Linked DNA regions of Rhinolophus ferrumequinum. The protein of the gene in region 2 purifies or fractionates together with the protein of the main gene of each other region. This does not show direct contact. Links are inferred from orthologs where the notes say so. Each region holds a gene or a part of one and is shown on either strand. Other genes may lie near its edges.

Region 1 (7,927 bases), on a different chromosome or scaffold from region 2:
GGGAAAATAGGCGTATCAGTTTTCTTGTGCCAATGAAACAAACTGCTGCAAAGGCTCAGGCATTAAAAGTACCTGATATTTCTTCCATTTTAAAACCAAATACTTGTGCTTAAAGAGGTCTCACTGAAGTTCCCCTTTACTCACAAGGAATGACTGTCAATTCCAGGAATGAAGCATGCCTGCCCAAATGCCCCCTAGTCAGTAAGAGCAGAGTTCAATCACAGAGCTGGAATGGAGAGCGAACACATGTGGAAGGCTCACATGTGACACCAAGGGTTGGCAAGCTGGAACAAACAGAGAATGGGTTCATGTGAGCAGAGTATGGAAAACTCCACCCCGCCAAAAAAAAAAAAAAAATTCAGAGAAAGACATTTCTTTCCAAAAGTCCTATCAGCATTGGGAAGGTACCACGTACAAGTTTAGGGAGGTTAAAAACAAAACAAACAAACAAAAAACTTCAACCATTTTGGTAGGTCAAAATTACTTTTATAAATAATCCGCTGAAAATCAAGTGACAAAAAAATATAAATCATTGGTGTATGCATACTTTAGACCATACAATATCCAAAACTCCTTGAATCATTAATTTACTTTGGTAAGTAAAGAAAAAGATGCAACTTAAGGATAATTTTCAAATATTTTTTTTATCCAAAGGACACTTTTTTTTTTAATTTATTGGGGTGACAATTGTTAGTAAAATTACATAGATTTCAGGTGTACAATTCTGTGTTACATCATCTATAAATGCCATTGTGTGCTCACCACCCGGAGTCAGTTCTCCTTACCAAAGGACACATTTTAAAATACATTTTGGAAGTTTGGCAAGACAGGAAATGTGGTCAGTTGGGTGGGAGGAGCAATAGGACCTGAATCCAGAAGACAAGAGTCCCAGTTTTTCCACCTCTAATTATCTGTTTGATGTTGCTTGAGTCACAACCGCAGCTCTGTTTATTCATTTCTAATATGAGAACAGTAAAGTGTACATATCTCCCTTGGATTGTTATGACAATGAAATGTATGTGAAATCACTTTGGAACTTCAAAGCACAACAAAAATGTTAAGTTTCAACTTTCGGAGTACATGCTCCGTGGGCACAGGAAAAGAATTTTATTCATTTTGCAGCCCTGGTTATAGAATAATATTTGGTATAGTTTGGGTGATCAATTTGTTTTTAATAAAGGTATTAAAAGGGCACTTACATGGGACATTGAAAAAAGTTTGTGTAATTTAAAAAGCCTGTGAGCATCCCGTCAGCAATCCTTTTTCCATGAAGAGGAAAGAAATAGATTCTGAAGCTGGATAACAAATTTTAAAATGGCATTATGTTCACATGTCCAAAGTCTGACAACCAACGATAAACTAAAGAATAACTTCATAATGTGTAACTGGGAAAGTATTTACTCAGTATAGACAAACGGTATATTTTGACAGTTTATAAACTTTTAGTACTCCGCTGTATTTCTAGTGATACTTATTACTGTAAACACATGCTTAAAACAAGTCGTGGAAAACACGATTCAAAGAAAAAACGATCACTTATAATCCTACTTCTCTGAGGAAAAAACACACTTATCTTTGGCGTTCACAGCATTCAGTATTTATTCTATGCCTTAGTTGCTCTTTTTTTTTTTTTAAACACAAGCGTTAACAAACCATATGTATTATTTTGCAGCCTGTTTTAACTTAAGGAAGATTCTTCCAAGTCAACATTCTTCTACACGATATTTGATGGCTCGATAGTTGTCTAACATCCCCATATGGATATATCACAACTTCCTAATCTTGGGAATTTGGGTACAATATTAATACCTGAGGTCTTCTGTACACTCCCAAAGCCAAAGAAAGTGGTCAAGGCCCTTTCATTTATCCACACATAAATCTGTTACTGTTTTAATTTAAAACTTTCTCTAAAAGATGCTTTTTAATCTTCCTTTGGATTTTAAAATATAAGCAATCTGTTAACAAGTAATACAGCAAAAATTATACTACTTTCTTATACTACTTGTATTGAGTTCAATTTGCTTCTGATATTTGGGAAAGAGTGCACTTCTAAATGGAAAAAAAAAAAACCTAAAAATCATTTTCTGAGGAGACCTCGTTTGTTGGAGAATAAGTTAACAAAAATGTTTTACTCCAACACGTTTCTGTAATTGTAAAAATTTCTATATCCATAATACTGTGTATTTGTCACTTGTTTTTCAGAATTTCTTCTACGTTTTTGCCAAGCTTCCCTTCTACGTCACCAATATGTACCCTATAATAACAAAACTATGCTTCCCTCTCAATAAAATATTTTAAGAGATGGAAAAATATTAAAAACAAGAAATGTACAGTTTGAAAACCTCGATTCTTTATGATGTTGCAGATAAGAAATATCGAGCGTCAACTACAAATACAAGTCCCATTGATAAAAATACTCGGTCTGAAACAGTCATCGAGGAAGTGTACCAAAAAACCCGCAAAATCACTAGAAGAGTTTGTGTCCGGACTGTCAAGAAACAACAAAAAAAGAAGGCCCTGACCTGCGGAGGAAATAAAACACTTTCCCGACCTGTCACTTGTAAGGGGGCACTAGGGAAAACGCTGACAGCTTTGAAGCTGCCCGCGACGAGCACTCGGCCAGCCGCCGGGGGCGGGAAAGAGGGGCGCGGGGCGTTTCCGGGCCGCGGAGCGCCTTTGTCCCGGCAGGCAGGTGCCACCCGGCTGCCGGGCCCGTCTCGGTGCCCGCCGCCGTGCCCCGCCCCACCTCGTACACCCGGCCAGACCGGCGCGTCCCCACGGCCGGGGCGGGGCCTCCGCCGCTGCTCCCGCCCGCTAGGGCCCACACAAAGGCCCGGCAGCCAGCCGAAGAGGGGCGGCCCCGCCCGTCCCCGGCCCGGCCTTACCCAGCCGCTCCGCCGCCTGCAGCCCCGGCCGCGGTCCCCGACCGCTGCGCCCCGCCCCGTGGCCGCCACGGCTGCTGCTATTGCTCCTCCGTCCGCGGCCGCGGCCGACACTCCAACACCCGCCGCCCTCACCGCCCTCACCCCTCCCGGTGCCGCCGCAAACCCAGCCCTGGCGCCGCCAAGCAAACCTGGCTCCGCGCGACATTGCGTGCGCGCGCACGCGGGCCGGAGGCGGCGCGCTTTACGGCGGCAGCGTGAGTGCGTGACGCTCGCCGGTGGCCTCAGTTCACACGTGGCCTCGGTGGAGGCAGGTTGTAGGTACTGCTTCTGCCGCCACAGCGGTTCCGACCTCCAGTATGAAGCGGCCGAGTGAGTGTGGTCGGGGAGCGGGCGGGGAGGCTCCTTTCCCTCTGATGGTCGACGAATCCATCAGGGTGCTGTTCTGCGGCTTGTTCTCTGTGGCAATGGGGATCTGCGGGTAGGCCATCGGCCATCGCCCTGATTCTGGTTAGAACCGAGTGTTTGAAGGAGCCACGTTAACCGCAGGGCCCATAATGGAGAAGGAGGACTGGGCCCCAGAGGTGGAGATCAGACCAGAATTTCGTGAGGAAACAGTGTCTGAGCCAGGTTTAGGGCTCAGCCTGTTCCCTTCAGCGCCACGTTCAGTCCGGCTCCAGTGAGGTCTGAGAACCGCCTCTCAAATCCACTGTTCGCCCGTGCGTTGTGATTCGTGTTGTTTGACAAGGAAGTGGATGTCGTTTTGGGTCTCACATTCCTGAGTACGATCCCAGGCTAAAATGAGAAGAGTGGGAGCAGGGAAGTTGGGCTCTACTCTGGGTCTGAGTCAAATTCTCAGGGATTTGAGTGGCATGTGTATTTTATGTACCCCACAAGATTCTTAAATTACATTTAAGAGCTTATTAATTACTTAACACCGAAAGGGAGGTGACCAAAAATTAAACAAACTGATCGTGTGTGTCTAATTTTTTTGTGATGTGTTTCTGTGTAGAGTTAAAGAAAGCAAGTAAACGCATGACCTGCCATAAGCGGTATAAGATCCAAAAAAAGGTAAGTCTTGTGCCTGGGAGAGCTATACCAGATATAATGCTGATTTCTGCCTCACCTCTCCAGGAGGAGGCCTGGATTATTATGATCTTATCTCACAAGCTCTTAGGTATCAAGAGTACAGTTGTGGGAAAGAGCAGTAATTCATTGATCAGAAAGTCTATAATTTTGATCAACATGTTAACCACCTCTGCAAAAAACTTCTGGTGACATTTTCTTGATGTTTTATGCATAAATATGTGTCTCCGAATGATACAATTACAGTTACATTTTTCTGGGTCATTTTACAGGTATAACTAAACTGCAGCCCGATTTGTTTCTCACAAGGATTTTGTGTAGCATTTTTGTAAACTGACAAATTTATTATGATAGGTTCGAGAACACCATCGAAAATTGAGGAAGGAGGCTAAGAAACGGGGCCACAAAAAATCTAGGAAAGACCTAGGAGTTCCAAACAGTGCTCCTTTTAAGGAGGCTCTTCTTCGGGAAGCAGAGCTAAGGAAACAGCGGGTAAGATACCTTAGCTGAAATACTCAACTTTTTTTTTTTTTTTCATAGTAAAATAACAATACCAAGTCACTTTGGCTCACCCATTTCTCTTATGGTTTGACACAGCTTGAAGAACTAAAACAGCAGCAGAAACTTGACAGGCAGAAAGAACAGGAAAAGAAAAGAAAACTTGACACTAACTCTGATGTTGAGCCATCTAATGTGGAACTTGTGAAGGAGGTACGATTAGGTCTCTTGGTGAATGAGAGATGAGTTCTGATGTAGAAGTAAAAGCACATAACAGGGCAGGCATTGTGGCCTCCCTAATCAGTCATGGAAAATGGAGAAACAGGTTACAATTGCTGAATTTCTAATTCTGTGTTCTTTTCCCCTTGTCTTTGTCCTTTAGGAATTTGGGCAGTGCAACGCTAAGAACAAAGCCAAGGCAGGCAAACAGAATCCAAAGAAGTTGTATTGTCAGGAACTCAAAAAGGTATCTTAGTCTAGGTCAGTGTCTAAAATGGGTGCTGAGGTTTAAAAGACTAGTCATTCCTTTTTCCTGGCACCAACCTTATAAAGTTGGGAGTAGAGTTCACTTGAGCTAGAAGGAAGCCTTCAGCAAATTGGCTTATCCTATTTAGGGCCTTTTTGTTACAGTTAGCTGAAGGAAATATTCTTGTGGTTTTAAACTTTTGCAACAGAACAGTTCCCCATAAACATGATTTACAAAGGTGGTATTTGTGTTAAAGTGACATTGTGTTAAAGTGGCACAGTGGTTTTTAAAGTAAAGGAAAATACATTAGAGTAAGCAGTGTGAAAATAAGAGTCTAAAGTACTTTGTTGAAACCTAAGTGAAGTAGATCAAGAGGGTGTCTTGGTGTAGTTGCTCCCCAGCACTCCCACCCTTCATACCTGTTTTTCCAAGTTCATTCTCCCCTGTAAATAGAACTTGACTATGCTTTTCATCAGCTCTTGGCAGAGCCACAAGAGCTTAGCAGACTACCCAATTCACGATGGGAAGATTATATATTCAGACAGTGGGGGTGTTTCCGCTTTTGAAATCTACTTTAATGAGAGGCCAGAAGCTACTGAACAAACCTGTGTTTTACTTTCCTGGGAGAAATGAACGGACATTCTCCATATCACATTGTTGCAAAGTGGATAATTTCAGTATACTTGTGTGGAGGGTGTTCTGAAAGCAAGGGTTGCTCTTCTGATCATTTATACATTGACAGGTGATTGAAGCCTCAGATGTTGTGCTGGAAGTGTTGGATGCCAGAGATCCTCTTGGTTGCAGGTGTCCCCAGGTAGAAGAGGCCATTGTCCAGGGTGGACAGAAAAAGTTGGTACTTGTATTAAATAAATCAGGTAAGCAAAAAGGATGCCCTTTGTGTTCCATACGCACTAGTGAGGTATGAGGAAAACATCTGAACAGTCTGATTGTCACTGAAGACTGATAAGATCCAACTCTGACCTCACCAAAACCAGTGCATTTCCTTTCTTATTGCTAAAGACAATGCTGGACAGTGGGGTGGAGGTGTTTTCTACGTGTGGTTTCACTGGTTTCTGCTCTCCTTTTGCCATTCAGTACTTATCACCTTATTTAAGAGTGTAAGCTTCTATACTCAGCTTACTGCGTAATATATTTCACATAGGAAGTGATGATAGTGTGTCATTCCCCACACCTGCACAATGTTGATTGTGTGACAATTATTAGATAAAATGCATAGTTACGTATCGGTTTGAACAGCAGGAATAGGAAAACTCAGAGATCTGTGAAGCAGAAAGTAACAATGGGATCTAAAATTACTGTTGGGGTCAGTAAACATGGCTGCTACTGGAGAGTAAATTCTGGAAACATAGCCCTAGGGTTAGTAGGGTAATAATCTAGAGGTTGACTTAATCCTGAAAGGGTGAGCAGTACAGAGGAGAATTGAAGAAATACAGAGGTGTAAATATTGAACACTGTTAAGATAAGGATGGTATATGGTTGGAAGTTTGTGCTCTCCCCATCTTCCAGTTAAATCCTTTTGGGGGCGAAAACAAACAAAAGGCAAACCAGAGTGAAATGCAGTTTACCATGTTTTGCAAATTCATCTCAACAAAATGACCAAATTGGAGCATGTGTCTTATTCCTAATCTCTATCAGATTTGGTACCAAAGGAAAATTTGGAGAACTGGCTGAATTATTTGAAGAAGGAATTGCCAACAGTGGTGTTCAAAGCCTCAACAAATCTGAAGGACAAACGGAAGATAACCAAGGTACCCTTTACTGTCAGTGGCGGGGGATGTGTTTCTTTCAGATTTTTGGATGGCTGAAATATGATGAGTATACAAAATCTTGATTAAAAAAATGAGAACTTATAAGATCCAACTCTGATTTCATCCAGAGGTAATCTGAAAGGCATGTGATTTTAATGGCTGGGCTCTGAAGCCAGATTTTCGAGTTTTATATGATGGGTTGTCAGAAGTGGTTAAACTAATTACTTGCATTTTTAATGTGATGGTAAAGAGGAAAGCTGCTCCATTCAAAAGTGAAGTCTGCATTGGGAAAGAAGGTCTTTGGAAGCTTCTTAGAGGTTTTCGGGAGATGTTGGGCAAAGCTATTCAGGTTGGAGTAATTGGTGAGTTACAGTTCAACACATTTTATGTCTTAAAGTTCCAAGAACTTTTCCATGTTAAGAGTGTATGGGGTTGTTGCTAAACATAAACACTAACTTCTTGCCCACCTTACCGAATACATACAAACAATGTAAAGACAGAAATTTTAAGTGATTGCTGCTTAATTCTGTTTTTTTGCCAACTGTGCACTGTAGGAAGTTGGCTTCTAAAATCTCTTGGTTTATTTTAGTCGTCTTTTCCTGCTCTTATTACTTGTGTAAGAAATGAGTTTGCTAAGATTGACCTTAGTAATGAAGTGAAGACACTCAGATTCAACTCTGATCTTGCTCTACACATCAAGCAAGCATAAAATAAAGCAGTGGAAATGTTATCGTTACCAGCACTTAATGCCTTTTGTATCTGTGGATTTATTATACCATTTATAGGTTTCCCAAATGTGGGGAAAAGCAGCATCATCAATAGCTTAAAACAAGAACGGATATGTAATGTCGGTGTATCCATGGGGCTTACAAGGTAAACTGTGTTGTTCCATATCGTAGTGTTTCATTATGGATGAGTAAATATGATTGTTTTGGATATCTTAAGAAAGAAAATTTCCCATTCTTTAGAGGTGTCAGTGAAAGGAAGAGGGTTAAGCCAGTACTAGGCTTGGGGAAGAATTAGAGTGGAATAACTGCCCACAATCTGGTTTGAAAGACTGGCAAATAGATTGAGGGGGAAAGCTGCCTCAGAGAAAGCGATGCTTGAACCTGGCCTTGAAATGAATAGAAGTCTGCCAGGTAGAAGAGGGGAAACATTTATGCAGAGGAAACAGCATGTGTTTGGGTCAATATGTAAGCTATAACATGTAGTGCTTCTCTTTAGAA
Region 2 (7,598 bases):
TAAGACAATCTGAGAGGTGCCTGGGGGCGGTGGCCAGGGAAGGCAGTGGTTACGTGCTGGATGGTCTTGTATATGGAATGGAGGATGTTTAACCCGATTGAAGTGAAGGGGAGAAGTGGATTAAATTGGCATCTTAGAGGCCTAGAACCGGGTAATGGGCAGGAGGGGGTGTCTGGGGAACGGGACAACAGTGAGGAGACTCTTACAATAGTTTGGGGCGGAGTGTAGGATTGCAACAAGAGACGAGAGTAAGGGGCAGCTTGAAGACGGTATCAATCACTATCTTTGGTTTGTAGCAACAGAAATGGGTTCTGGTTAGCTTAAGTGGAAAGGGACTGTATTTGAAGACTATTGGGTAACCCACAGAATCAATGGAGAGACTGGAGAAGCAAGGTCTGGAAATGAGCAGGAACCAAAGGCAGCCAGGATGCCAGTGGTAGTGCCACCACTGGGAGCTCAGTGCCTCCGATCCTCTTAGTTCTCCAGTGGCCACTTCTGCTCTAGGTTATTTCTCCACTGCCCCTCCTGTCCCACAAAAAATCAGAGTCAAAATCAAAGCCACAGTGAGATACCACTTCACCTCCACTAGGATGGCTAAAGTAAAACTGACAGATAATAACAAGTATTAGTGAGGATGTGGGGAAATTGGCACCCTCATTCACTGGTGGTGAGAATGTAAAATGGTGCAGCCACCTTGGAACAGTCAGGTAGTTCCTCAAAAATGTTAAAGAGAGTCACCCTATGACCCAGCAATTCCACTCCTAGGTACGCTGGTGAGAGAAATGGAAACACACATCTTCATAAAAACCTGTATGCTAATGTTCATAGCAACGTTATTCACAACAGCCAAAAAGTGGAAACCACCCAGATGTCAATGAATGAATGACTGACTGAATGAATGAATGAATGAACAAAATGTGGTAAATCCATAATAGAATTCTATTCATTCATCAAAAGGAATGAAGTATTAATACACACTACAACATGGATGAACCTTGAAATTATGCTAAGCAAAAGAAGTCAGAAACAAAAAGACTCATATTGTATGCTTTCTTTTATGTGAAATGTCCAGAATAGGCAAATCCATAGAGACAAAAAGTAGACTTGTGGTTGCCAGGGGCTGGGGCAAGGGGAGAGGAAGAGTGATTGCTAATAAGTAAAAGGTTTTTTTCTTGGATGATAAAAATGTTCTAAAATTGATTGTGGTGATGGTTTCACCACTCGGCGAATATACTAAACACCACTTTGAAAGGGTGAATTTTTAAGGTATTTTAATTATATTTCAATAAAGCTATTATTTTAAAAATTCGACTGCCTAGACCATCCACCAACTGGTTAAGTTGGGCCCCAGGCCCAGGACCTAACTCCGTGGGTGAACAGAGCTTCCGTAATGGGGTGAGGGTGGCTTCACCCCCAAAGGCTCACCCAGAACTAGGAAGGGTATTCAGACGCTGGGCAGCCAAAATGACTGCACATGTGGGAGTGAAGCTGCAGACACTTGGGCGGCCTTGAGATTCCTGACCTGAGAATTCGCCAAGCCTGTTTATGGACAGATTCCAGCTTTGCTCCAGGTCACTGGGTCATGACCAGACAGCCTGCGTTTAATTATTCATTGTTAGAAGAGTGTCTGGATTACACGTCTCACCTTTGAACACATTAGTTTCTCAAAGCACTTTATATATATATATATATATATATATATATATATATATACTATCTCTTTATTTTCATATGACCCCAAATGGCCCAACTTTTAGGCAAGCCAATGGCTGCACGGATGGGGATGCAAATTGCCAATCCACTGGTGTCTTGAGCTGGTGAGTTTTTATAGTTGTGGTTATAGTACTGCGAGGCAAATGGCAGTGTTTGGTTTAACAGAAAACTTTTTCTTTTTTTTCAAGGCCTCCCCAGTCTATTTGAAACTCACCATAAGGCTCACACGTTGGGGGAGACCTTCCCCACAACAATTGGGGATCCCGTTAGGCTCCATCAGTGGTATGCTGGTAAATGTTTACCAACCAGCTCCGAGTGGCGTTGGGGAAAGGGTCCTGATGTGTAGCATTTGCTGATTACCATAGTGTAAAAGCTCCCATTTTTGATTTCAGACTATCAATGTGAGGTCACTGAACACAAAGTAAAGAAGTGCAGGTCTGTCAGCCAGCTGCCCCATCACTGACCCTGTCCTCAGGGTACAGCAAACAAACCAGTCTTGCTCAATTGGGCAGCCTGTATTGGCATCACCTGGGTGGTCCAGGGACCCACAAGCCCAGAACTCGGTGGAGGTCGCCCTGGACTAGCAGTGCCCTCAGGAGCCTGGCAGAGCAAATGTAAAACGTCTCTCAGAGAAGGTAACTTCATCCTCGACCTCAAATTATCCCTATAAATACATGTTCAAATACAGTGTTCAGCATGGTCAGAGAGAACCAGGCAGATCACAAGGAAATAGGACACCATGAGCAAGAACTAGCAGAAACAGACCCTCAGATACTTCAAATATTAGAATGATCAGACACAGACGATAAAATAACTGTGCTTTGTTGAAAGAAAGAAGTTTTAAAATCTCTGCAGTGGTCAGGAAACCATAAAAAGCGACATGCCAGATTTATAAAGAACATTTGTAGAAAGCTTTACAGTTTAATCAGAAATCAGATACACAAATTCCTTCAGGGGCCATCTGGTAATAAATGAGTAAAAAGACCGGGTAACACACTGGTGATCTGGAGAGCTTTGTCTGAGGGGACACAGAAGTTCTCAGCTACAGCCGATTGTTGCCATGTGGTACTGGGGACCCAGTTTGTAGATATCTGGATTTCTTTTCATTGTGGTAAAATACCTATAACATAAAATTAAGCATTGTAAGCATTTTAAAGTGTACAATTCAGTGGCATTATGTATATCCACCATGTTGTGCAACCATCACCTCTCTAGTTCCAGAATTTTTTCATCACCCCAAAAGGAGACCCCATGTACCCATTAGCAGTCATTCCCCATTCGTATACCCCCCTTCCCGGCAACCACCAATCTATTTTCTGTCTCTCTGGATTTGCCTAGAGATCTCATGTAAGTGGAATCATACCGTATTTGTCCTTTCGTGAGTGGCTCCTTTCACTTAGTGTGTTTTCAAAGTTCATCCATGTTGTGGCAAGTGTCAGGACTTCATTCCTGCTTAACAGATACACGCATTTATCCATTCATCAGTCCATACTTGGATTTCTGATGTATCTTGCTATTTTAAATTCAAATATATATATATATATTTAAAAGTTCTGTGTGGCCCCCAAGCGCATGTCAGCTGACCTGACCCCGACAGTGTGAGACCTCTGTTTTAGGGCCTGCTGTTACATGTTTTCCCTTGTTCTCCTCAGAATGATTCTCTCAGTGTACCTTCATCTTTCACATTAGTAACTTGTGGTTCAGAATGGTAACAAGACATGACCAGGAAACGGTCTGCAGTGCAATCTCCCACTCCATTACCCTCATAGCTTCTCTACCCAAAACCAAAACCTCTGGGCAAGCTGCTTGGTTCTAGAGTGAGTGGGAGTCAGAGTTCTAGTAGCTATGGCTATGACCTTGAACTTCCTGCGATTCCGTTTCCCCACGTGTAAGATGACTGGTGTTGGGCTAGTTTATCTCCAATGCCCCAGGCTTGCTGACAGGGTCACTCCCACTTTCCCCAGCATCCATCTGGGTGTGAATTAGCTCTGGTCAAGTCTGGTTAGCTGCACCTGAATACAAACATGGGGCACCTGAGTTGTCCTGATACTTGTGGGTTCCTCCACAGAGCTGTCCTGGGGCTGGACGGGGAAGAAACAACGTGCAGAGCCGTCCCTGTAGGCCGGCCCGTCCATTTTACCTGCGCCAGGGTCATTTGTGCGGTCGCGGCATCTGCTCTGAGACTGGGACTTAAGTCGGGAGGGCCTTACATTTAAATCGTGGTTCTCCGACAAACCCAGCGCGGGCCCTTTATTTATGGTGAGGGCCACGATCTCCAGGGGCAAGCAGAGCCCCGGTTAAAATGCTGATCACTCTTGAACTTTCCCTGCCGAATGCTACTTAGTAAGCAAGGTCGCGAGTGGCACCTTTCCTCCGACCCCCGTTTTCCAAAGGATTCAGGAAAGGGAAGCGACGTCCTAGCTCGGGTGTCTCCACGGGGGCCAGCCGAGCTCCGTGTTTCTCAACTGTCTCCAAGAGCACTCGCGTCCCGAATCGTCGCCTTCAACTCCGCGAAGTCAAGAGCCCCGCAGGAAACTTGCATTACTGCACCGGCTGCCGCAAACCCGGGGCGGCGGACCGGCCGCCGGGCTGGCTCCCAAGGAACGCGCTCCCTCCGCGGCCGGCCCGACCTCCCCGGAGGACCCCGCGGCACCTGCGGCCTCCGGGTGAGTGTCCGTGCGCTCGCCCGCCCGCTGCCCCCTCCGCGTGCCGGGTCCGGGTCGCCGGGCGCCCCCGGTCGCGTCCCCGGGCTGGGTGGGAGGCTCGCGGCGCAGCCAGGCGGCGCCCGGAGGCCGCACTGCTGGCGGCTGCGGCGGCGCTGCTCCCCCTGCTCCGAGCAGCTGCCGCCCGGCGCTTGCGCACTGGGCCCGGGCGCGCGGCGGCCCCGGCTTTGTGTGTGTGTGTGTGTGTGTATGTGTGTGTGTGTGCGTGTGTGTGTGAGTGAGTGTGTGTGTATGTGTGTGTGTGTGTGTGTGTGTGAGCGTCTGTGTGTGTGAGTCTGTGTGTGTGAGTGAGCGGCGGGCGGGCGCGAGTGTGGCCGCCGCGGAGCGCGAGCAGGACCCGGCGGCGCGCTCGCAGCCTCTCTCTCCCCGCCAGAACCATGTCGGGCAGGTCGGTTCGAGCCGAGACCAGGAGCCGGGCCAAAGATGATATCAAGAGGGTCATGGCGGCTATTGAGAAAGTGCGCAAATGGTAAGCGGAGGCGCAGCTCGCCCCCTCGGCGCCGCGGCCGCCCGACCCCAGACCACATACAAAAAGCCGGCGGGCGCAGCGTCCCGGCCGCCCGCGGGCCCGGGAGTTGGAGAGGGCGGGCGGCGCGCGAGCCGGGTCACCTGCGCGAGGCGGGGGCCGCGGCCGCTGCCCAGGTGCGCTCGCGCCTGTCGCCCACCTGGCGCGGCGGCGGTGGCAGCCTGGAGGCGGGGGCGCCCCGAGCCGGGCGGCTGAGCGGCGGGCAGTCCCCGCCGCGGCGCTCGGCTCCCGGGAAGGGGGGCTCGGGGCCGGCCCCAGAAGCCATTTCGTTTTGTGCAAGTCACATGAAAGCGGCTTCCCGCGCGCCGGGGCCGCGATGCCGGCGGCGGAGGGGAGAGCGCGAGCTCCATTGTGCAGCGCGGAGCGGGCCGCCGCGGTCTCCGTCTCCTCCCCGCGCGCCCCGGGCGGCGCAGCGCCGGCCCCCGCGCCCTTGCCCGCGCCGGGCCTCCCGCCCTCGCTCCCTCCCCAGCCGGCTCGCTCGCTCGCTCCCCGCCTCCCAGGCCCGGCGCCCTCGAGTCTGCGGAGTTTGCAGAGCGCGAGCCGTTTAAATTTAGCGCTTTGGGCTGCCTGGAGCGAGGGCTGTTGGCGGGGAAGCAAGATGGGGGCGAGCGCGAGGAGGGGCGCCGCGGGGCCCGGGGCGCCGGGCACCCCCTGCACCCGCTCCAGCCGGCACCCGGGCGCGGGGCTCGGGCGAGCCAATGTTTTTGCCCAGAAACCGGTCCTGGGCCGCGCGTCTGCCTTTCCCAAACCAGCAGCTCGTGTTTGTTTTGCGGAGGGAGCCGTTGTTTTTGTTCTCTGCACGGGGGGTGGGGGGGTGGTGGGAAAGGGAGACTCCGGGTTGGCCGCGCGTGTTTCTCCAGCTCGAGCTAGTGTCCGGCGTGGCCTTATTGTAATTAATAGAACTGAATGTTTGCTTGGCCCCGGCGGGGTCTGACTCGGAGTCGCCCGAGGGCCAGGCCCGAGACGCAGCACATCGCCAGGTTGGGGCAGACTTGTTGAAAACTCCCAGCTCCCTGATTTCAACTTTATTATTTTTTTTTCCCACGGCTTCACCAGGGTCAGGGAGGGAGAGGAGCAGCCGCGACGTGCTGGAGTGTCAGTGCCGGCGGGCTCGTCCTGACCCTTTATTTAAAGCCTGAAAACTGGGCAGGCCCCCCGTGGAGGACTATGTTTATGTTTAGGGGTGTCATTTCTTGAGTAACGCCTTGGTCTCTAAAAACCACAGGGGGCCAGGATCCAGTCTAGCCGTGTCACAAGTTAGTTGTCCTTTCTGAGTCAAACCCAACAAAAAAGGCAGGAGGAAAATCAATAAAGTCCACGTGCTCCCAGGCCTCCTATGGAAAGGGCTGTCTGCAGATGGCCGGATGCCCGGCCGAGGGCTGGGTTTGGCTCCAATGGGACAAAGAATTTTCAGAACCGTGAGAAGGGGAGACTTTCCAAAGTTGAAATCCAAGTCTTCCGTGCTGTGGGAGCTCCGCTAGTGCTCAGGGCACCCCGATTGGGACTGGACCCATTTAAAAATGGCAGAAACAGCTGCAGGCAAAACACACACCGGAAAACAAGTCCACAGCCCCCTCTCCTGTGGGATTTCCAGAGGGAAGGCTGGAGTTGTCCCCTATCTTAGCGCCTTTGTAAAGAGAAAAACTGGTGTCTGGGCCTGAGTCCCTTCTATCACAGGCCTGGAGGTGAGAAAGGCTGGGGACAAGCTGCTTTTTTCTGTTCCAGGAGGCATGGTGGGGCCTTCTGCCCCAGGTTCCCAGCCAGGCAGAGGCTCCTGCACCCTGACAGCTGCTCCTGTAGGGCCTGCCTGGCAGCTGCTCTGCAGGGAGGGCAGATGGAACTATGGGGTTTTCCACCCTGTGGGCCCCAGAGCAGCCTGCCTGGAGGCTTTGGATGCTGCTGAACCCACTGCAGGCCCAGCCTGTGTTTAGGGGAGGGGAGGAGTACTTATGTCCCTCCCTGCTTGTGTTTTGGGTAACAACCTGTCAAGTCCTGTAAAGACCTCAGGCTTGGGATCTCAAGGCTGGACTGGGCTTCCAGGTAACTTCCTTCCGTGACCTTGGGCAAACCATGGTACTTCTCCAACCATGGCAGCAAAGGGGTTCTGTGCTGCTTCCTTCCCCACTCCCCCACTAGAATAAGAGCGGGTCTCCAACAGCCCTTACCCCTGTACACTGGAGCAGTCATTAAATGTCTTCATTATAAGGTGGGCTCTGTCGAACTTGTATTTTGCTGATTTTTTTTCTTTTTTTCCTGCCTCTTCTAGGCAAAAACAAACAAACAAACAAAAAAAAAAAACCTGCCTTATATCTTGGGTTTCTCCGGCCTCCAGAAGCCAAATCTCACCTTCACTCTGCCTTTAGAAGGGGTCTTCCAGTCAGTCCTCCAGACGTTGGGTTGTTTATTAACTGCGTGGCCACCAACCATGCAGTTCACCGTTGGCTGGGATGCTGGGTTGCCAGATTTAGCAAATAAAATGACAGGATACCAAGTTAAATTTGAATTTTAGGTAAACAACAAAATAATTTTTAAAATAGGTGTTTTTGTTTTTGTTTTTTAAATATAAGTATGTCCCATGCAATATTTGGGACATGCTTATACTGAAAAAAAATTACTCATTGTGTATCTGAAATTCA
Region 3 (7,650 bases), on a different chromosome or scaffold from region 2:
CAAATATTGTATGACTCCACTTATACAAGGTACCTAGAATAGGCAAATTCATAATGACAAACAGTAAAGTGGTGATTGCCAGGGCTGAGGGAAGAGGGAAATGGGAATTTTTAGTGCTTAATGGTTGTGGAGTTTCTGTTTTCAGTAGCAACAAAGTTTTGGAAATGGATGGTGCTGATGGTATACACAACATTACGAATGAATTAAAGCCACCGAACTACACATTTAAAAACAGTTAAAATAGTGAATTTTATGCAAAACTTAAAAAAAAAAAAACACTCAATTGCATGGAAAGCAAAACAAACTTTGGTGTCATACTGTAAAATGTGAGAAAAAACATTCTACAATTTTTGATACCTGCTTTTACTAGAGCTAGGGGGAGGGGAGTGGAGAGCTAATGCAGAGAAGAGAAACATACCACAAAAAATGTTATTAAGCAATAAAACGACAGTACCCCAGATCTTGACTTGAAGTTTCACAACTCCTAGAGCTATCTCCTGAACCCATTCGCCTCCTTTTGGATGGTTGGGTCCCATCATTTGAATTATCTTCGTTATCATCCTATACGTTAAAAGGATTCAAAAAATAATAAGAGAAAGATTAATATGTAAAGAACGTATCTTCTCAGACTTGCTAAAAGGCGCACTTGAAGACTTTCTAAGCACAGCTGGTTATATAAATGCTAACTTTCCATTAAAATTAAAAGGAAGCCCAGAATGTGGCATGGGCAAGACCTGGAAAAAACTAAAAACTGGTCTTCCATACAAGTAAAAAACTCAATTAACCTATAAATCTAAATCTACTTTTGCTTTCTCACTTAAGGTTAAAATGCCTTCTAGTTTAAACAAACATAAAATTGCGGCAACTCTAAAATTAGAGCAAACCTTCTTACCTCAGGTAAGAACAAAATATATGGAGGGATCATTTCCTGTTTCACTTGACTCACACCTGGTTTATACTAATTGGCTATTTTAGGTACTTATATCCCTGTGAAAAGACATACAAGGACTAAAAACAGATTACCAGTCTTGTTCCATTTTTTTCTTACATTGTAAACATTTAGCAATAATATACCCTAATAAGAGTCATCAATCTATATAGTCATCAAGCAAAACCCTCCCCCCCAAAAAAGGAGAGGCTTAAAATTTTTTAAGTGACATTATGCATTATGGGATTATAATATCAAGGCTGTAAATTGGATCATTAAGGAAATGAGTGAAGTATCAAATGTTAGGAAATTGATATATTTACATATTAGCTAAGGCTTAATGACTAGAAGGCTTACATTGTTTTAAATCAAAGTAATGTAGCTTACTAAGATTAATACAATTTCGTTAAATACCAGGGTCCTCTTGCTAAGTATTAAAAGCAAAGCCATCCTGCAGAAGAAGATAAAGAGGTAGTAAGTAAGGCATGTCGGTCAGGCATGCCAAAGCTGGGCTGCCTGGGTCTGGGCCCTGCCCTTCATTAGCTGAGCGGTTATGCTCTTTGAGCCACTCCTTACCTGTCAAATGGAGAGAATAGTGCCTGTGTTGCTTGGCTAATACAAGGATTAAATTAGTTACTAGATGGGAAGCACTTAAAAGCAAGATCCAGAAAAAAATTAAGAGCCCAATAAAAGTTAGTTAATACGACGATGATGATGATGATGATGACGACGACAATTTAGAAGTCTCCAATGGCCCAGCTGTAAGGAATTTACTCTGATTCTATCCCAAAAAGTAAAAGATGCAGAATATTTTCCTTCTCCTTTTTGATTCTTATAAAATAAGCATTCAGTGGGAAGAGCTCTGTATATTCCTAAGGCAAGCAGCCAGCTCGGATGTGGAGAACTGTCTAAATATTCTCCAAAAATGTACATTTAACAGTAAGTATCACAATTGAACCATTTCATATTCAATACTTCAGGCATGATGCCTTTTAAGCATCCGGGTATCACGTGTTGCTATTTTGCTTGCTTCTGAGCACTTGAAGAATTTTTATGTCCACGTGTTTAAGTACATTTCCCTTGGCTAAGAAATGGGGACACTAAAGTCCACGTCTGAGGACTGCCACCTGACTAGGTCAGACATTTGCCCCTGAGTCACAGGTGGTCCACCCCTAAGTGTCTCTCCACACCGGTGCTTCAGGCCCGAGCGCCGCAGCCGGGACGGGCTCCAGCCGCTCCAAGGCTGCGCGCCGCGCGCGGCTCAGGCTCGTCGCTCCACCGCGGGGCGCGGGCGCCGCGGGGCAGGGCGGCCTCGCTCCCGCCAGCGAAACCCTTCCCGGGTCCCGGCGACACGGTCCTTCAGGAAAGAGGTGGATCCATCGCAAATGTCCTCTCCCAGGATCTAATTTCAACTTTTCAACAACTTAAGGCTTGAGGTTCTTAAAATTACGCCTCCGTTCCAACCTGTGTCACAAACTACAAACTTGGTCCCAGCACGCAGCACCGCACGGCGTCCCGCGGCCCCTGGTGGTCTCGTCCACTCGGCGTCGCCTCCGGGACACCAAGTCCGGTTACGTCCGGACGCCGCCAAGTACGGCGTCTTCTCGGGCCGCCGCGGAGTCGCCAGGACGCCGAGTGTCCAGGGGCCGCGTTTCCCCGCCGCTCCTCACAACTCCCGGGGCGCGCTCGGGGCCCGCGGCGTGTCGGGCCCACGGACGGCCCAGTTCCCTGACTTCCGTGTCCGCCGCGGCCCGGCGGCCGCTCGGCGGTTATAAACGAGCCGCGACGCGCGGAGGATGCGGAAGCGGAACAGGCCGCGGCCGTCCCGGCTGCGCACCGGGGGCCCGGCCGCTGTCCGAGGCTGCGGCCTCCGCGCCTCCCAGGCCCCCGCCCCGGCCCCGCGTCCAGCCCGCCCGCTCGCTCGCCCAGCGGCCGCCTCCTCACCTTCGGGGACTGCGCTCCCGGGGTGGCCGGGTCGCTGTCGCACGGCCGCGGGGACAGCGCCGTCCCGGGGCCGGCCGCCGCCGCCATCAGCCCGAGCGCCCCGCGCCGCCGCCTCCGCCGTCGCCGCCGCCTCGTCCCGGCCGCCGCCGCCGCTGCCGCCGCCGCCGCGCGGGCCGCCCGCCGCCCGGGCCCCGCCCCCTCCGCCCGCCCGCCGCCCGGGGGCCGGCCCCTGCCGCCGCGCGCCCCGCGGCCCGCCAGCGCCGCCGCCACCGCCATGGCCGCCGCCAGCGCCGCGCGCCGCCCGCCCGCCCGCCCGCCCGGCCGCCCTCGGCCCCGGCCGAGGCCCCCGCGCCCGCCGCCCTCAGCCGCCCCGCGGCCCTCGGCCCGCCGCTCCCGCAGCCCGCAGCCCGCAGCCGCCGCCGCCGCGCCGCTCCCTCAGCCCGCGCGCCCCGGGCCGCGGCCACCCAGGCCCGCCCGCCCGCCCGCCGCAGCCCCGCGCTCCGCCGCCCCACCTCCCGCCGCGCCCCCGGCCCGGCCCCGCCCTCCCCGCGCCCCCGGCCCGGCCCCTCCACGTCAGCCCTCTCCTCCCACCGCGCCCGCCGCGCGCCCCGCCCCGCCCGCCCTCCCGGTGCCCGGGGGTCCCGTCCCCCTCCCCCGGGGTCCCGCGTCCTGACCCCCACTCCACGCCGGGTCGCGGTGCGCTGGGTCCCGCGGGCTGAGAGGTCCCTGCCCACTGCCTCGCGGCCCCCTGCCCAGCGGCCGCCCCGCCTGCCTTTGTCCTCCGCTTCAGCCTGGCTGTGCTGCTCAGAACCACCTGCCGTGCATGTGCACAACCCAATGACGTCCGCAGCCGGTTCCATTTGAAAAGTTGATCACGTCCACCTCAGTGCGGCCGAAGCCAGTAACCGCAGAAGCTGCTGAAATTCAGCTTGCGTGCGTGTGACTCTGCGCTCGCATGACAGACAACAGGACGGCCTGCCGTAGAGGACCGAGGACCGACAGTGGCTCCGAGGAGGCTGCAGGGAGCTTCCTAAGGCAACCGGCCAGGGGACACTGCTGCAGAGGCCACAGGACGTTTGGGAACCACACTGATGTTTGGTTTCTGGCACCGGTGCTTATTCCAGCCTTGGCAACTCATTTAACCTCTTTTCCCACCTGTTAAGGGGAGAAAAACCCGAGTCTCCGGGATTATTGTAAGGGGCATGCATAGTACATGATAGGCCCATGAAAGGCACCAAGAAAATTGGAGCTGTTTTATTGGAACTGAGTTTACTCCTAATCCTAGTTCTTAGGCTTCACCCCGTCAGGTCTACAACTTCACCAAAATTTTTTAAAAACTCAGGAACTGAACCTCAACACATGGCAGACAGCTGTGATAAGATGACAAGGGTGCCAGAAATTTGTTAAAGTTGATCCCTCAGCAGACACTTTATTATCTTAGAAAGTACAAGACTTGTTTCGGGACAATAGAGAATGTTCTTGGATTTAGAGCTCAATATGGCTTCCTTTTCGTTCATTATTTTTGCTTACACTCAGCGGACAAGTTTGGAAACATAAAACAAAGGGATTACTTCTAGCCCATGACATAGCACAAACAGCCTACTTTGACTCTCTGAGCCCACCCTTTCCTGACCCCACTTGCACCCGGTCACAAATGGCATCGACAACAACTTCAGTCTCACAGACTGCTCCTAATCTAGACTTTGCTTTCTCAATTCCCCATTTCACTACCAAGAGTCCACTACAGAAAATGACCCTTCAGTGTCTTGATCGGCCAAGAATCAGCATCTTTCTCCAAATTCTCTTAATTGATGAAGGCTCTCAGTCAGACTCTCTGGAGAATTTAATGTATATATATATATATTGTTTTTCGGTTCTACTCTTCTCCCTTGGGAATTCTGTCTCTAGCTCAAATAAAATTTAAAACTCTTCATTCCAAATCAACAATTACGAATTTGGCCTTTCCACCAAGGCAAGGCAGAACATTAAGGAGTCACTATGTGGATTACAATCGCTGCCTGTAGGTATTTCAATGCTGGAAGAATAGGATACAAATACACAAAAGGAGCTTTAAGTGGGAGAAAATTTACTTGCAACTAGAAAAATTAAGATGTCAGGGTTGACTTGGAATTTGAAAAGTATCCTAAGAGATTGGTTGGACAGCTACAGGAAAATGTACAATTGGAACTGGAAGTAGGGTCTCAAGCCCCAAAAGACTGAGAGCTGGGAAAATAGGACACATGCCATATTCAGGTACATCAGTCATTGAATTTGGCTTGAGAATAGGGTAAATGAAGGCAGAGTCTAGGAGTTAGAGATAAATATGCAGGGAGGCAATATGATGTAATGACGAGAACAAAGATTTGAAAATAAGACTTTAGTTTGAATGGCAGCTGTGCCACTGATTAGCTGTGTGATCACGGATACATTATTTATGCTCTGACCCTCTTGTTTCCTCATCTGTAGGATTGGAATAATGTCCACTCAATTATTTCACAAATAGTTAATGGAAACCAACTATGAACTAAGAACTACCGTATGTTAGGTGATAGAAATACAAAGAATCATGTGTTCACTCATTTGTTTATCAAATACTACCTTACTATTTATCGAGTTAGGCCCTGAGTTAGGCACTAGCAATACAGTGGTAAAGAGAAAAAGGCAAAAAACTGTATGAGACCACTTAGAATATGTAGATACAGGTGAGAAAAAGGCCAGAGACCAAGAAATCCAGAGACATACATGGAAATAGAGAAGGAAGAAAACTAAGAGTTGAGTACCGTAAGCTGCGAGGCTAGTGTTTCAAAAAGAGGGACTGGTCAACTATGTCAATTGAGAAGTTGAGTTAGGGGACAGAGAAATGCCCGCTGTGTTTAGCAATTTGGGGATAAGGAGCAACCTTAATTCCTTCAAGGTTATTTCAGTGGAGTGGCAGTTTCAAAACTAGATTGAAGTCAATTAAGGAAGCAATAGGAGGCTAGGGACTGTAGCCAGAGTATAGGAAGCAGTATGATTGCAAAGAGTAATGGCAGAGAAAAAGGGTAGAGGGGTGGGTCATGTTTTGAAGATGGGAGGCACCATGCCGACAAGAATGACTCAGTAAGAGGGCGAGTCATGGCGACAGGAGAGAGAGGACACGGCTGCTGGGAGCGGGCTGGTCCATCCCTCGGCACAGAAGGGACACATAATGCGGCTGCAGATGGAAGTAGGGTTAGAGATTTGCTGGTGGAAAACCTGAAGGATTTTCCTCTGATACTTTCTCTTTCCTTAATAAAGTATGAGGTGAGATCATCAGCTGAAAGCGAGTGGGAAGGAGGGATACAGAGAGTTGGAGGAGAAAGAAGGTGTAGACAGTAGAAGAGCAGTTTCCAGGATGCCAAGTGGTTTGCCCTCTGGAGGTTTGGGGTCATGAGTTAAAAGTGCAACCAGTCAGTCTAGTTTTCCAATGTTCTCAGTCAAGTTTAGCTACTTGAATTCAAGCTAGTCAAGTGGGTAATAGGGTCCATTCAGGAAGGGGTTTTCCCAGGTGAAGAAAAGAGGCAAAGGGACCTGGAGTGTGTTTGTAAGGCAGTGATTATACTGATGGGCCATGACAGCTGAGATGACCAAGGACAAGAAGAGGACTAGTAATAGTGGGGGAAGGTAATGAATTGGAGATTTCAATAAGATTGAAGAGTGGCTGTCTTCAGGTACTACAAGTGGTGAGCAGGAAGGACAGGAAATAATTGCATGAGAATAACCTGCTTGGAATTGCAAGTTCAGAGGTCAAATTGACTTTGATAATCACAAGGTCTACAGGGTGAACCCAGGTGAGCTACAGGAAAAGGTCACTGAGCGTGAGTTAGTCAAGGAACTGAGAAGCTAGAGTCCCAGCTTTGCCGGATGCCACAGGACTATAAGAATGACCACAGAACCCACAATCATGCAAAGCAATTTTAAGAATCAAAGAGAAAAATTGCAATTGTTCTATGACTTTAAAAAAACTTTTGTTAAAACATCAAACTCCCTTACTGCCAATTATAAATGTATATGGAATGTTTTTGATTGTGAAACTTACATGTACTGAGCACACTGCAATTTAGAACATGAGAAACACTGAGAATTATTTTCTTTGTAAACAGTTTTCCAAGAGTAGTTTGAAGTGTGCTTGCCTTCTGCCCATCCTATGACTTATATTTTCTATATCTTGATACGTTGTCATACTTTTTTTTCTGAGCTTGGGTAGTTTCCAACATTTTGTTTTGCATTTTCAATGCTGTAAAGTATCTCCAAGAGTTTCTTTAAAGTGAAGTTGTTACCAGTTTCTCTTCCTCTGGACATCTTCATCCTTTCGCCACAACTGCTTGCTCTCACTCATCTGAAGTCACAGCAGCACCCTGACTGGAGCTAGCAGCTTCCCAGGTAGCTCAATATTAATTCACGTCGACTTATAAAGTGACAGAAGCAGCTTTACTGGCAGGAAAAGGTGGTTTTTCAGTCCCTTTGTAATGAGTTTTTTTTCAACATGGCAACTACAGCACTTGGCTCCTGTGTGCTCGCTAGCCAGACTGGGAATTTTATTTTATTCCAGTTTTCTATCCAAAGAGGAAGGTCTTTCTCTACATACATGGGTTTCTGTTCTGAGAGCAATTTAAACTAAAAAAATGTTGACACGACTTGACCTTGCTTTTTCTGCTCACTGGCTTTTCTCCCTGTGGTTCCTACAGTACCATCAGCCAGGCATAGCGGTCATCCTATCTAGGCTTTGCTGTTGTCATTTTCAAATGTCCTAATCACAT
Region 4 (7,348 bases), on a different chromosome or scaffold from region 2:
ACCTCAGCGAGACCCTCACTTACACCTGGACGAATATGGAGAGAGACAGACAGTCAAACAGGATACACATGAACATACACACGGGAGATACAGACAGATCATCTGAGATAGTCAGACAAAGGAAGAGACATACCCACTCAGATGCATCCAGACACGTGGAGGAGACTCATGCAGACCCTTGGATACACCCAGGGATGCTCAGAAAGAGACTGTTTGACCATCAGACAGCCATACCCACATGGGGAAGACACAGCCAGACCCTACCATACACCTGGATACACATGGGGGAGATAGACATAACTAGAGAAAATCACTCAGATGGATACACAGGGAAGATCCACACAGTCCCTCTGAAGCAATCAGATACACCCAGGTAGACATTCTAATTCACCTGGACCCACACAGAACCTTGGGTACACCTGGACAAGGGAAGAAAAATAGCCAGTGACTCTGATAGCACTGGACACATTCAAGAAGTGATAAGGTCAGACACTCTGGTGGACCAACACACATGAGCAGAAATACACCAGACACTAGGAGAAGATAACCTCCCAGATGTTCGAAGCATCTGGGCGCTCAACAGAAGAGGCACCCGGACACCCTGCTATACCCAGACACACTCAGGAACAGCCAGATATCCTGACAGACCAAACACACACGAGAAAATAAACCTTCTAATACACTTGGAAACACCTGGAAAGAGGCTCAGACACTTAGATACACTCTATTACAATGGCAAGAGTTATACCCAGACACTCCAACACATCAAGACACACTCGGTCACCCACAGGAAGAAACAGAGCCAGACTCTCTGATACATCCCAGCTCACAAGGGAAGAGATACAAAGACTGGATACACTTAAACACACATAACAGACACCAGTCCGCTCTCAAATACACCTGGGCCCACATAGGAGACCATACCGTCCCAAGCTCAGTCACTCAGGGAAGACGGGAAACTCTGGACTACACCCAAGCACACACCAGGAGACACACAGCCAGCCACTCACACACTCTCTAGGAGGGAGATAAGGCGAATGCTCAGACACACGCTGGCATCGCTACACACTTAGAGTGTGCTGGGGACACTCATGGGGGCTCCCCCAGGCACAGGCAGCTCCACCCACCGATCTTGTACTCGCAGGGCCGGAGTCTGGGGTCCTCCAGAATGTTGAGTCGCCGTTTCTTTCTCCAACAGCGGGCAGGGTATGTGTAGATCTGTCCTGGAGCCAAACCTGGAGTGAGCAGGGCGGTGAGAAGAGCAGTAAGAACGCGGCTGCCACGCCGCCGCCCCGCCCCGCCCCCGCCCTCCTGGCGGGTACCTGGCCCGCGGTGGGTCTTCTCCATCCAGATGTAGCAGTTGTTCTGGGCCACGCCAGTCTGCGAGTCGAGGAAAGGCAGGCGCAGGCTGCGCTCGGCGCACAGGCGCGCGTTGTAGCTGCGGCAGTGCTCGATGGCCTCGCGGTAGAAGTCCTCGCCTAGGCTGCGAGGCGCGATGAGAGGCAGTGAGCGGGCGGGCTGCTGTCAGCAAGGGCAGGCGCGCCAGGGCGCCCAGTACCCCTCCCCCGGCTCAGCCATCCGGAACGGGTGGGCCGACTCTGCCAACCTCACCTGTCCCTTCTGGTCGCTCCTGGCTCCTGGACCCAGGAACCCCCCACCTGAGACTCAAGTAAGCCAACGAGTAGCCATACACAATATAGAAACAAAAACACAGTGGGACCTATCCATATATGCACATATCCAAACACACAACACAAATCACACATAATCACATAGGATTCACACACAAAGAGAAACATATCCCAAGACTCACAAAGGAGAAACAGACAAGTCTCACATATGTGCACACACACATATCTACTGAAAAACACAAATATCCCGTCACACAGTATAGAAACAGACAGATCACACATATATCCATGTACAAATACACATCCCATATCCAAAGATACACAACATAAACAAATCACCCACACAAAGACACACAATATGCAAACAGATCACACCACACACACACACACACACACTCATGCATCCAAACACATACACTTATGCATCCAAACACACATACACAAATGTTAAAAGAAATGTTAAAACAAACTACCCACATATGCATTTACACACATATCCACAGACAACACAGACAAATCTCACATATACACACACACACTACAAAGAAATCAGATTCACACAGGATACACACATTCACAAAGATACACAATATAGAAGCCAACATCTAAAATACCATATATTCAAACACACAAAGACACACACATATACAACATAAAAACAGACAAATCCACCCATATTCACACAAAAATTTACACATAGATAGATGCATACCTACATATCCAAAGACACAGAACACAAATGATGCACAGTTTCAAAGGACATGTACACACACTCCAAGACCCAAATACCCAATACCTAGTGTGGAATAAAAGAAATGAAACACATCTCCATGCACATATCCAGAAAAACCAGAAAACAAACAAGTGACACACACTCCACATCCCAAGACAAAGGTAGTGTGGGCTTCACTCAAGTTTACCAAGGTCCGCGCACCCCGCCCGCCCACCCCCCCGCCATTTCACCCTCTCCCCAACCCGGGTAGTCGCAGGGTGGGACCTGACCCCTGCCTCGAACAGGACCCGAAGAGGACTCTGAGTTCCCCCCACACTCCGCTCCTCCAAGATCAGCGCATCGGACCCCGTTCTTGTCAGAGACCCATAGTCACACACTCGCACCCCCGCGCAGTCGGGCCCACGGTGACAGCCCCCCAGACACCCATCGGCCCCACCCCCAGCTGCCACACACACACGCTCGCGCAGACCCGCCCGCATGCCCTCCCCAGCCTGCCGCCTGCCTGCAGCACCTCAGGGGGCCGGGGATGACCGTGGCCATCTTGCTCCCCGGGTCCTGCCCCCAGCAGGTCCCCGCCGGGTCGGTCCTCCCAGCGCACGGGCGGGCGCGGAGGCCGCCCATCCATTCATTCCCGGGGGGCGGGAGCAAGAGGGCCACAGCCAATCACGGCGGCGGGGCGGGCCCGCCTGGGCCATTCTGGGAGTCGTAGTCCAGGCCTGGGAGATCGCGGGACCCCGCGGGTAAGAGGGTGCAGAGGTGGGGCCGGGCAGCACGCACAGTCACTCACACACGCTCACTCATACACTCATCTGGTCTCACGGCGTACACGCACATCGGACTCGCACACCCACACGGCAGTTTACACACATATTCACATGTATACTCACTGCTGCCCACTCAAGCACACTCCACTCCCACACCTCACACACTCACATACACACACACTTCAGAGCCAGGAGACTCAGACATTTTACAGATGCCTACACAAACGTCCCACCAACATCCGCGGCTCGTGCAGACGCTGGACTCACTAATACCGCCCCCTCCCCACCCTCCAGTCACTCCTAGCTCCGGAGAACCCTATCCTGTCCCACTCTCACAGAGACCCCCCGCCTGCCCTACTCAAACCTTTCGCAGCCCTGACAGCAGCAGTGCTAGTTAGGAGCTGTAGCCATATTCCTCTAGGTTCAAATACTGGCTCTGCTACTTGGTAGCCATGTGACCTTGGGCAAATAATTTAACCTTCCTGGGCCTCGGTTTTCTCATCTGCAAAATGAGGGTGGTGCCTCATTGGATGTTGTAAGGATTATATGACATAAGTGAAGTGTTTTAAAAGGTACCTGGCAGGTAGTAGGTGCTCAATAAATTCATTCATCCCACAAAGAGGATCTGATATGTACTAAGATGTAAAATGGTGATATTGTTACCATTAGAAAGAATAATGCCTGGCACATAGTAAATGCCCAATAAATATTTGTTGAATGAATGAATAAATATACTGAACACCCACCATGTGCTGGGCACAGTTCTAAGTGCTTTACAGGGATTAATGACCCTCCAGGGTGATGATATTATTACTCCCGTTTTCCAGATGAGGACTCTGAGGCACAGAGAGGTGAAGTTACATGCCCCACAGCCTCCCAAAACAGGCTGTTTGAAGGTGTGACAGGGAAGGATTCACTCCCCCAGGTGCCTATCCCCAAGTGGGCCTTACCACCTTCTCTCTCCCACTCTCCCACTGTCATCCACACTGACTCCACCCTAAGAGATACCCAGAGAGTGAGCTGATTCACCCGGTCACACACACTTGCTCAGTCTCTATGCACACACCCACAGCACTCCTAGTCCAAACTTTATGTTCAGGTTTGAGCCTCGCATAAATGAAAACACCTACCAACGTCCTGTCCACCAGGGGGCTCTCCAGCAGACACAAGAGGCATACCAGCCTTCACCCCTTCTGTTTGATTCCCTCACCTAACCCTGGTGAGAGATCCCCTCAGGCCTCCCATAGCCATACACACAAACACCTCTAGTCTTAGACCCCTTCCACACTCTCCCCATCACCCCCCAAGGAGGTAAGGCCTTGAGGGAGGGGTCTCTGCTTCACATCTGGCCCAAAGGAGGTGGCAAGGGGAGTAAGTCAGGGATTGTGGCAGCCGCATGCTCACTATGGCCTCCAGGCCCCTATAACAGCCATTCCATACGTCATCCACAGTAAGCCGTGGCCCTGACCTGTCAGCTCAGCTCAGAGGGTACCCTTGCCACCTTCCTCTCTCACCTGCCACCACCACCCTCCAATCCCTCAACACACCCGCTAACACTTGCTCCCTACGTCCCTAGCCTCAGAAATCCTGGCTCACTACTGCCCCACCCCCAAACTCTCTCATCGTTTTGGAGCCTGAGTGTAGACACTCCATCACCTCCTGGAGGCCCTTGTCCACCCACAGACCCAGGCTGACACTTACCCTGTTTCCCTGAAAATAAGACCTAGACGGACCATCAGCTGTAATGCGTCTTTTGGAGCAAAAATTAATATAAGACCCAGTATTATATTATATCACATTATATTATATTATATTGACCCAGTCATAGTAAAATAAGACCGGGTCTTATATTAATTTTTGCTCCAAAAGACGCATTAGAGCTGATGGTCCGGCTAGCTTTTATTTTCGGGGAAACATGGTAGAGAGGAGTCTCCCTCCCTTTCCCTACCCCGTCAGTCACTTTCACTCACCTTCACTGACCCCTCTCCCACACTTGAACTCCCAGTTCTCTCCCCTGCCCAAACAATCCTATCCCCACCCCCCAATGCCCTGTGGGAAACTGGACCACAAATGAAATCAGTATTGACACTACTACTACTAATCACTACATTTAGTCAGGGTCAGGCTCTGTACTAAGTGCTCTACAAAGATCAAACAGCCCCAAGAGGTAATAAGAACTGTTATGATTCCCCAATACACAGATGGTAACACTGAAGTGGGGGGAGGGGGGATTCATGGCTCAAGCTGGGATTTGAATGCAGGCAGGCAGAATTCCTAAGGGCTGCACCCCCAGCCTCCCACTCCCAAGGGGAATAGACTTGCACATTCTTTCAGGAGCTAGTCTCTATCCTCACCTCTGCAGAACCCTCGAAAAGTGAGAGCAAAGAAGGAAGGGTGCTGGCACTTCCACCCCAATGCTAACTCTGGCCTCCAGGTCCCTGCAATGGGTTGTCCCTCACCTCCTCCTAGAGGTCTAGGCCAGGGTCAGAGTGAAGAGGCCTGGATGCCGATAGATCCACCAACTGGCACAGGAATCCAGTCCCAGCCAGCTGGAGGGCATGGCGTCCTCATAGGAAGACATCTGTCTGTGAGTACGACTTAGAATGAGAGGGAGGCAGAAAAGTGTCTCCATCACACACCATCTCACACTGACCCCAGCCCCACACCGGCTGTCCAAGTCCTCTTTTGCTCACCGCAAAGCCACCAGCCACCCTCCTTTCCCAACTTCTCCCCGCCAGAAACCAGAAACAACTGGGGGCATTAGAGTGGGGGGTGCTCCCGTGCCCCTCCCCTCTCCTCAAGCCCCCAGCACATGTTGCTCAAGGTCAAGGCAGCAGGCGCACCGGGTCGGGGGGAAAGGTGGGGGAGGTCGCCCGGCCCCTTTGTGCGGCGCCGCGGGCACTTGCCCCTGGTCTTCTCCCTCAAGCCGGGAAGAAGGGGGAAGGGAGTGCGCGCTCGCCAGCAGGGGAGGGAGGGCGGGAGCGGCCGCGCGCCTGTCACTCCGAGCACGCTGTCACCGCCAGGGGAAGGGGGGTGGGGAGCGCTGGGACCTGGGTGTACGGGATCCCGACAAGGGAGAAAGAAATAGAGATGGAGATGGAGATGGAGATGGAGAGAGAGAGAGAGGGAGAGAGAGATGGAAAGAATGAGGATGGCAAGGAGAGGGGAGAGATGGGAAGGAGCTAGGCACGAAGGTGTCCGGGTTCCCAGACACTGGGCCCAGGGAGGAAGCTAACGCACGGAGGAAGGAACGCGAACAGGGAGAGAGGGAATCCCCGGAGACTAAAGGCGCTCCCAGCACCTTCTCCCGAGGCATCTGGTACCCAAGGGGATGAGAGATGCTCGAGTTAGATGTGTATGAGCGGGGAAGAGAGAGAGATTCCACAGTCTAAGCTGACGGGGGCATCGGGGCTTCTAGGACCTGAAGACCCAGGAGGAAAAAAGAGGAGACAACAGGGACCCCCGACGTCTCAGCTCCCACCCTGCGGCCGCGTGGACCGAGGTCCGGGGAAAAAGAGGCAGGGAAGAGGAGAGAAAGGTGTTTCAATGAGGGGCAAGGGTGGTGGAGTCCCCAGACACTGAGGTCTGGACTCAGGCGTGCGTACTCCCAGCCTCACGCTGGGGAAGGCCCGGCGCCCCGAGAGACACGGAGCAGGAGAGATGGAGGAGGAGGAGAGGGAAGCCCCTACCCCCACTCTGGGTGGGGAAACGGCCTCTGCCATCCCCCAACCCGCACCACATTCCTTCACTGACAGCGACAAAGAAGAGGCGCCCCCGCGACCCTAGAAGGGTTCCCGCCCCCAACTCCATGGGGAGACAGGGGTTGGCGGGCGCCTTAGGGGTGTGGGGGCGCTCCGGAGGGGGCATTCAACTACCATCAACGCAGTGCATCCCCTTCCCCAGCAAGGGCGGGGGGAAGGGCGGGGCGGGTGGAGGGACGTGGACAGCGGGGACACTCACGACTTGAGCGGGTTCTGAATGGCGGTGGCCATCGCCCGCTCGGCTGGGCCACCTCCGGCCCGGGGCGCCGCTGCCGCCGCGCGCGGGCCCAGCCCGGCCTGCGCCGCCCGCTCGGCCGCCCAGCGCGCTACGATTTCATTCATTCTTAGGGCTGCGGCGCGAGCGGAGCGGGGCGGGCCGGGGGCGGGGCTGGGCCAATCCCCGCGCCTCCCGGCGCACGACGGGACCTGGAGTCTAGGGGCGAGCAGCGGAGCCCGAGG

The links.
Region 1: the proteins of BCL7A (region 2) and PBRM1 purify together in Homo sapiens (affinity purification with mass spectrometry; 3 studies listed by BioGRID and IntAct, counting the BioPlex papers as one, with this or other methods). This does not show direct contact. The link is inferred for Rhinolophus ferrumequinum from reciprocal best matches to the Homo sapiens genes BCL7A and PBRM1.
Region 3: the proteins of BCL7A (region 2) and PHF10 purify together in Homo sapiens (affinity purification with mass spectrometry; 3 studies listed by BioGRID and IntAct, counting the BioPlex papers as one, with this or other methods). This does not show direct contact. The link is inferred for Rhinolophus ferrumequinum from reciprocal best matches to the Homo sapiens genes BCL7A and PHF10.
Region 4: the proteins of BCL7A (region 2) and DPF1 purify together in Homo sapiens (affinity purification with mass spectrometry; 3 studies listed by BioGRID and IntAct, counting the BioPlex papers as one, with this or other methods). This does not show direct contact. The link is inferred for Rhinolophus ferrumequinum from reciprocal best matches to the Homo sapiens genes BCL7A and DPF1.

The regions. Positions count from the first base shown.
Region 1 is NC_046300.1:48,259,744-48,267,670, forward strand, and holds the start of PBRM1 (protein polybromo-1), read right to left. Parts: upstream 3,007-7,927; 5' UTR 2,886-3,006; intron 287-2,885; exon of another isoform or gene 145-286; intron 1-144. Other genes in the region: GNL3 (guanine nucleotide-binding protein-like 3), read left to right, coding at 3,242-3,254, 3,895-3,953, 4,323-4,460, 4,566-4,679, 4,849-4,932, 5,675-5,807, 6,589-6,701, 6,946-7,063 and 1 more. UniProt on the Homo sapiens protein: Involved in transcriptional activation and repression of select genes by chromatin remodeling (alteration of DNA-nucleosome topology). Required for the stability of the SWI/SNF chromatin remodeling complex SWI/SNF-B (PBAF).
Region 2 is NC_046308.1:5,321,055-5,328,652, reverse strand, and holds the start of BCL7A (B-cell CLL/lymphoma 7 protein family member A), read left to right. Parts: upstream 1-4,595; 5' UTR 4,596-4,813; coding exon 4,814-4,905; intron 4,906-7,598.
Region 3 is NW_022680354.1:2,535,776-2,543,425, forward strand, and holds the start of PHF10 (PHD finger protein 10), read right to left. Parts: upstream 3,004-7,650; 5' UTR 2,960-3,003; coding exon 2,873-2,959; intron 2,143-2,872; exon of another isoform or gene 1,505-2,142; intron 562-1,504; coding exon 455-561; intron 1-454. UniProt on the Homo sapiens protein: Involved in transcription activity regulation by chromatin remodeling. Belongs to the neural progenitors-specific chromatin remodeling complex (npBAF complex) and is required for the proliferation of neural progenitors.
Region 4 is NC_046298.1:37,699,839-37,707,186, forward strand, and holds the start of DPF1 (zinc finger protein neuro-d4), read right to left. Parts: upstream 3,006-7,348; 5' UTR 2,986-3,005; coding exon 2,876-2,985; intron 1,484-2,875; coding exon 1,323-1,483; intron 1,236-1,322; coding exon 1,128-1,235; intron 1-1,127. UniProt on the Homo sapiens protein: May have an important role in developing neurons by participating in regulation of cell survival, possibly as a neurospecific transcription factor. Belongs to the neuron-specific chromatin remodeling complex (nBAF complex).